2 linked regions of the Drosophila melanogaster genome follow. Each later gene encodes a partner of the first gene's protein in a complex. Each region holds a gene or a part of one and is shown on either strand. Other genes may lie near its edges. The genes, in order: Nfs1 and bcn92.

The links.
Region 2: Nfs1 (region 1) and bcn92 share a complex: the UniProt entries of both Drosophila melanogaster proteins name them as parts of the mitochondrial core iron-sulfur cluster (ISC) assembly complex.

What each region holds. Positions count from the first base shown.
Region 1 is NT_033779.5:11,997,933-12,001,880, forward strand, and holds Nfs1 (Nfs1 cysteine desulfurase), read left to right. Parts: upstream 1-1,721; 5' UTR 1,722-1,792; coding exon 1,793-1,922; intron 1,923-1,980; coding exon 1,981-3,239; 3' UTR 3,240-3,312; downstream 3,313-3,948. Other genes in the region: Hacd1 (3-hydroxyacyl-CoA dehydratase 1), read right to left, coding at 3,482-3,948. UniProt on the Drosophila melanogaster protein: Catalyzes the removal of elemental sulfur from cysteine to produce alanine. It supplies the inorganic sulfur for iron-sulfur (Fe-S) clusters.
Region 2 is NC_004354.4:2,147,796-2,151,416, reverse strand, and holds bcn92 (bcn92), read left to right. Parts: upstream 1-1,769; 5' UTR 1,770-1,935; coding exon 1,936-2,015; intron 2,016-2,075; coding exon 2,076-2,196; intron 2,197-2,573; coding exon 2,574-2,651; 3' UTR 2,652-2,954; downstream 2,955-3,621. Other genes in the region: wapl (wings apart-like), read left to right, coding at 1-145, 265-540; Pgd (phosphogluconate dehydrogenase), read right to left, coding at 3,029-3,621. UniProt on the Drosophila melanogaster protein: Stabilizing factor of the core iron-sulfur cluster (ISC) assembly complex that regulates the stability and cysteine desulfurase activity of Nfs1 and participates in the [2Fe-2S] clusters assembly on the scaffolding protein IscU.

The sequences.
Region 1 (3,948 bases):
AAAAATATATACATTATACGCTAGTGTACCATTAAGTGTTTGGTTCAGCAAAGATTCCGTGGAGGCGGTTTGAATGGCAAGGCACCTGGTAGAAATTGATCCGCCTTGAATGCTTCGATTTCCTGCTCGTTGAGATCCTCCATGCGACTGTAAACTGAGGACTGGATTTCGTTGGTCGGTTGAGCTTGCTGCTGCTGCTGCTGCTGCATCATTTGCTGTTGCTGTTGCATTTGAAATTGTTGTTGCTGCTGCATTTGTTGCTATTGCATCTGCTGCTGCTGATGCATTTGTTGCTGTTGCATCTGTTGCTGCTGCTGCATCTGTTGCTGCTGCTGCATCTGTTGTTGATTAGGGAATGCAGATGCTGCTGCTTGAGCAAATAATCCGGAGGCAGCTGCCTGCTGCTGCTGTTGTAGTTGCTGAGAAGCCTGAGTAAACATTCCGCCCATATTTTGGCTTGCGGCTTGGCCAAAGATTCCCGTCGACTGCGGTTGCTGCTGCTGCTGTTGGAAACCACCGAAAGGATTAGGATTCACTGGCTGAGCTTGCACCTGAACCTGCGCCTGGGCGAAAATGTTGCCCCCTTGGAAAGCTTGTGCAGCAGGCTGCAGCTGTTGCTGCTGTGGCTGTCCAAAGACACTTTGTGCACCTGTTGCCGCAGCTCCTACACCAAAAATGCTATTCCTTGCATTGGCATTGCTAATCGTTCCGCCGAAAATGCTATTGGTGTTGCTGGCTTGGCTTGTGGCATTCCCAAATATATTTCCCGCACTCAGCGTGGGCTTTCCAAAAATGGATGCAGATGTATTGGCGGCAGCCGGAGCTGCTGCAGCGAAGGGATTACTGGACTGCTGAGGGGCAGCCGACACAGTGCCGCCCTCCGGCGTCTCGTGGATCTTGATCATCATTTCCAGGACCTGCGGCGACATCTGAAGCATGGTCTTCATCTTGTTGTTAGCCTCTAGGACCTCACGGTTAAACTGTTGGCTGAACTGTTCGAATTGGTTTTGTCGTTTGGCCTCGTAACACATGAACCGCACCTCCTCGAAGGATTGGTCCTGAATAAAGTTGGGGAAATTCGCTTTGTCCTTAAAGGGTCCGTAGGCGGACAAAGGCCACATCTTGCCATTGAGGCTGGATTCCATGTCGGCTTTGAGATATTGCCTAAAATAATTAAGTTATTAGTTCATCTGCATAGTTTTAATATCAATGTACTCACTTAACATCGAAATGCTCGTTGTTGCACTTTGCGCCATAGCGGCAGGAGCCTTGTTGAAAGAACCGGCAGACAACCATATTTAAATTTGATTTTAATTTTTGCCTATTTCCTATATTTATTATTTCAAAACTGCTTCAACTTTTGTACTTTTGTTTATAATTGTCTTACTTTGCGTATTGAGTATTCTTTGAGTATTTTATGGCTCACTGAGAAAAATATACCGTGCCTATGCGCGCAATTTCGTGAATTCGTAACTTAAGTTCGCTGAATGATTAAGATAATTTTGTAAGCAAACATATTTAAGATGAAAACTGGTTTTTGAAAATATAGTTCCTTGTAAATTATACATTAAGTGCGAATATATCTGAAAAATATTGGTTTCTTGCACAGATGCTATTCATTTTTCATATGTTCAAAGAAATTCAGAAACTTGCTTCTGCATAATCGAATCAGATAATTTTAAAGTGAATTCCGGAGTCCTTTGGTATATCTCGTGCCGCCGAATACGGTCCCACTGATTGTGAAATCCGTGATAACGAATTTTAACACCAGAATTTCTAGGATTCCATCAGAATGCAAAAAGTGCTGGGACGCATCCAGGCGCAGGTCCTCCGCTCCCGGGCGACGAATGCATTAGCCAATGTGGTTAGACACGAGGCCACCTCCTCCAGGACAGCGGCTAAACCAGCCGCCACATCCAAAGGTAAGCGGATCCTCCAAGATGCACAGTTACCGCTTACCAAAATCGTATTCGTTCGTAGAATTCCGGGAGAGACAGGTGCGATTCAACATAAAGAACGAACAGACCGAGGGTAGACCACTTTACCTGGATGCCCAGGCCACCACTCCAATGGACCCACGTGTATTGGACGCTATGCTCCCCTATCTGACCAATTTCTACGGAAATCCCCACTCCCGTACCCACGCCTACGGTTGGGAAACAGAGTCCGCTGTAGAAAAGGCCCGCGAGCAGGTGGCCACCCTGATTGGCGCCGATCCCAAGGAGATCATCTTCACATCCGGCGCCACCGAGTCGAATAATATCGCAGTAAAGGGTGTTGCCCGTTTCTACGGCACTAAGAAGCGACACGTGATCACCACCCAGACGGAGCACAAGTGCGTGCTGGACTCTTGTCGTGCTTTAGAGAACGAGGGCTTTAAAGTCACGTACCTGCCAGTGCTGGCCAACGGACTCATCGACCTCCAGCAACTGGAGGAAACCATCACATCGGAGACCTCGCTGGTGTCCATTATGACGGTGAATAACGAAATCGGCGTACGGCAACCCGTCGATGAGATTGGCAAACTGTGCCGGTCTCGCCGAGTATTCTTTCACACGGATGCCGCTCAGGCGGTGGGAAAGGTCCCGCTGGACGTTAACGCCATGAACATTGACCTGATGTCTATATCCGGCCACAAAATCTACGGCCCAAAGGGTGTAGGCGCCCTGTATGTCCGACGAAGGCCGAGGGTTCGCCTCGAGCCCATCCAAAGTGGCGGCGGCCAGGAGCGTGGCCTAAGGAGCGGAACGGTTCCAGCCCCGCTCGCCGTGGGATTGGGAGCTGCTGCGGAACTTTCTTTGCGTGAGATGGACTACGACAAGAAATGGGTGGACTTTCTATCCAATCGCCTGCTGGACAGGATTTCAAGTGCCTTGCCGCATGTCATCAGGAATGGTGATGCCAAAGCCACATACAATGGTTGCCTGAATTTGTCGTTTGCCTATGTCGAGGGCGAGTCACTACTGATGGCTCTTAAGGACGTGGCCCTGAGCAGTGGGTCCGCCTGCACCTCCGCCTCCCTGGAGCCCTCCTATGTTCTGCGTGCCATCGGCACCGACGAGGATCTTGCCCACAGCTCCATACGCTTTGGCATCGGGCGCTTTACCACCGTCGAGGAGGTGGACTACACCGCCGATAAGTGCATCAAGCATGTGGAGCGACTGCGCGAGATGTCGCCGCTGTGGGAGATGGTCCAAGAGGGCATCGACCTAAAGACCATCCAATGGTCGCAGCATTAATGTACTAATATTTAAGCCGTTACTGTTACACCACACTTTGAAAGCGAAGGGAAAATAAATTTGTTGGAAGAGTATCTAGGTTTATTTGTACACAAAACCACTTATAACTAAGCTTAGTCCGAACGAATGTGCTTGTGTAAGAGGTGAGGCAAGAGAGACCCCAAAAAGCGAAAACGGCTCAAAGTGCGACGGCCAATGATATGCAAATGATGCAATAATTTGCATTCGCCGCTGGTCAAGGTTCAGTTGGCCTTCTTCTGGGGTGAGCCGCTGGATCCACCGCCCAGGATCTTACGGCGCTGGGCGAACATGTGCAAGTACAACTGCGGGAAGATGGGGATGTAGCCGAGCATGACGATCCACAGGAATCCAAAATACGAGAAGGTGGCGTTCCACTTGTTGGGCATCACCACACTCCACACGCTGTTCTCACGGGCATAGCTCTGGGCCCACCAGAAGCACAGCAGCTCCCCAGTCACGCCGATGGGATACAGGACAATGAATGTGGTGTAGCGCAGGAACACCACAAAATGCGGCACCACCTTGACGATGTTCAGAGCGTAATATCCATATCGGATGATCTCAGTGATGGCCCAGGCCAGCAGGGCGATGGGCAGACCGGGTGAAACCTTTCCAGTAGGCGTGGCCATCACCACGCCGACGACCACCATCATGCGGCTGAACACCTGGAAGCCAGTGACCACCGGGT
Region 2 (3,621 bases), on another chromosome or scaffold:
TTATGCGGCCATCCTGGTGGGAAATCTGATAGCGGACAACGAGTTGTACGAGTCGGTGGTGCGCCGCCAGCTGCGAGGAAATAGCTTTAAGGAGATTATTGGAGTGCTGGAGAAGTACCACACATTCATGAACCTTACATCCAGCGTGAGTCTCATAATATGTCATACATTTTCAGTTCAGATCGATAGCTTAATCCATCTTACCCTTAATCCATCAAACTGCACAACCTTCTAACTCGTTAACGTTCTCCACCATTTGTATAGTTGGAGGCAGCCTTTGTGGCGCATATGAAGTCCACGAAGCGCATCATCGACAACTTTAAGAAGCGCGACTACATCTACGAGCACTCGGATGAGCACGACAACCCCCTGCCTCTGAATCTGGAAACGACGGCGCAAGTCTTGGCCGTGGGAGCGGACGCGTCGCATGCTGCTACAAGCTCGACCACGGTCGGCTCTGGCTCCGCACCCTCATCCACATCGGCCACAGGAACGACGAGGGCGCCGCGGGTCTATAAAACGTACAGCAGCCACAGGTAATCGGACCTGGGATCTGAATCGGAATCGAAGAGCCATCGCAATTGTCGTTAACCACACCGAAAGCCTGCCACCAAAATAAAATTCTGTTGTTTGTGATTATGTAATTTGTTTATGTGTTGATATAACAATCACTACATGTATGTGTATAGCCTGTAATGCACCTAGTTTCAGTCAGCTATATATATATAGATATATATATATATAGAAGTATATAGCTAAGAGCGATAGGATACAATGCGATCTGTTTTTGCGTTTGTATTAACCCAAAGTGATAGCGAATTCCTGAGCATGGTCTGCGTTTTAACTAAAGAAAATGATTAAGATTGACGAAACGAAAGCGACACCCCGAACAACACAAAGATCCAAATCCCCACTAATATGAGTACGTTATATAGTCATAAGCAATATTAGCAGCTAAATGTCGGCTTACCCTCGAAAGCACACACCCATGTAAATATTCTTTAATCAGCGATTTTATCGGACGCGTCTTAGGTTTATTTCGAATGTGTTTTTTTTTTACCTATTCATACTTTATATATTAAACCTTTTTTTTATTGATTGTAAAACAAGCGCTCTTAGCAAAAACGCTGCAGCAGAAAGAGCGAGAGCGATAGACATGTGTAAAGAGAGAGTTAGAGAGGAAAATTCTAGATTAGATGTGGGAAATAAAGTTATTTTATTGCCTAAACGTAAGCTAAAGAAACTCTACTTATAAAACTAACACTGATAAATAAATATATATATGTATATGGATATATGTGTACGTTTACAACCACTAAAAATGTCATTTTTAGGCTACAAAAGTCAGATTTAAAAAGCAAGCGCGCGTGCAAGAAAGAAACAATTTCGGGAACAAAATATATATATTTATTTTGTGTTTTCAACGAGTACATAATATATTGTTCTTGCGGAAAAAACAAACAGAATTAAAACTAAAATTGAAAAAATGCGGCAGTTGTCTTATTTTGTATAATGGGAGCAGGTTAATTTGGTTTTTATTTTAATATTTACCTCTAAATATTTCGGATTCTTAATAAATTATTTTTCTGCACTATGAACTCAATTTATTTCTTACTTTTTGCAATAATATTTAGTATCACAAAAATAGTTTTTTTATTCAGTTGCGATGATTTCCGCACGACGCAGTGTCATCTCTAAGACTCACGCACGTGACACCACAGTGAATGCAGTCAGCTGTTTCTGGTATTTTGCAGCGGAAAAGTCAGTATTTTCCGGCTTTCCGCATGTAATTTTTATGTCATCAGGCGGTCAATTGGCAGTTGCCGCACCGAAACAAGAAACCAGGGTCAAAACAAAGCACTCATCAATTAAACAGCACTTTAATCCACCAGCCCGCCCGCCATTCAGTTCCATTCGGCCAGGATCAAGACCAGGATGTCGACCCGTCGCCAGGCGATCACGTTATACAGGAATCTCCTGCGCGAATCGGAGAAGCTGCCCTCGTACAACTTCAGGTAGGTGTTGTGAAATTGAAAGGCCGCCGCGAGTGATGAGCAATCTATTCCGGATTTCAGAATGTACGCTGCCCGAAAAATACGCGACACATTCCGCGCCAACAGGAGCACCAGGGACTTCGCGGAGATCGATCGCCAAATGGCCGAGGGCCAACAGAATCTGGAGCTGATACGTCGCCAGGTGAGTGGTTCGTCGGATTTCACCCCTCTCCCTTATCAGCAATGCTTGAAAGTATCCAGATAACGTAAGGCATTCCGTCTTCGAGATCACAGCGCATCCAAAAAGAGCCGTCGTTTATTTACCAAGTTGTTAGGAACTCAAATAATTAGTGGTATAAAAATACTACTATCAACTACTACTTCCCTTATCAAAGACAATCAATTTAAAGATTAAAAATATTAATGTATATTTAAAGTAGATTTTATCATATATATCTGATTTTGCAAATATGGGGAATGGAAAACTCAATTACCATCCTATTAGAAATCGAAAGTAACCATTTTGCCCCTTTTTCGCTTATCAGCCGGTTGAGTTTATTAACCTTTGAATGTCCACAGGTAATCATCGGCCACCTGTATTCCGCTGACAAACTGGTTATAGAGAACAAGAAGACCCTGAAGCCCTCGGACGACTAAGGGAAATACGGAGCGAAAAACGCGCTAGCTGAAGAGAGTACAATAGCAGGGAAGGAGCGGTAGAAGGAGCAGGAGGCGTCTCCAGATGAAGACACAACTCGAAAGACTCGACCCACACACAACACAACACACCAAACCACACGCATTGTTGATTTTAAATGGCACTTGCATTCATGAAACTAAGGAATCAAAATCATTTGCTAGCAAAAAAACACCAATTTAATGTTATGTTTAACAACAATTATGAAATTCTATATACATACATATATATTAATGGTATAAATAAGTACTAAAGTACTCCAGAAAAAAAAGAAACATCTAAGACACCGGCGCCAATGACATGGAATGTGTGAACGGGAAAGTGGAGCAGGTGGAACCTACGCCTGGTAGGTGCTGGCGGACACATTGCCGCCGGTGCCTGTCCAGTTCGTGTGGTGGAACTGACCCTCCTGGCCCAGCAGCTCATAGGTGTGGGCGCCGAAGTAATCCCTCTGGGCCTGCAGCAAGTTGGCTGGCAGCTTGGCCGTGCGGTAGCCGTCGTAGAAGCTTAGGGCGGTAGACAGGGCCGGCACGGGAATGCCCCAGCGGAAGGCATTGGCCACCACCTCGCGCCACGAGTCCTGGCCGCGCTCGATGGCCTTCTTGAAGAAGTCGTCCAGCAGCAGATTAGACAGCTCCGGCTGCGACGTATACGCGTCCTTAATGTTGCCCAGAAAGACGCTGCGGATGATGCAGCCGCCGCGCCACATCAGCGCAATGCCGCCGTAATTAAGTCTCCACTTGTTCTCCCTGGCCGCCTCTCGCATGAGCATGAATCCCTGGGCGTAGGACACGATCTTGGCGCAGTAGAGAGCGTGCTTGATGTCGTCGAGGAACTTGGTGAGGTTGGCCACTTGCGCCTTGGTCGAGGGTCCCTTCAGCACGCTGCTGGCCTGGACGCGCTCGTCCTTCAGGGCAGACAGGCATCGCG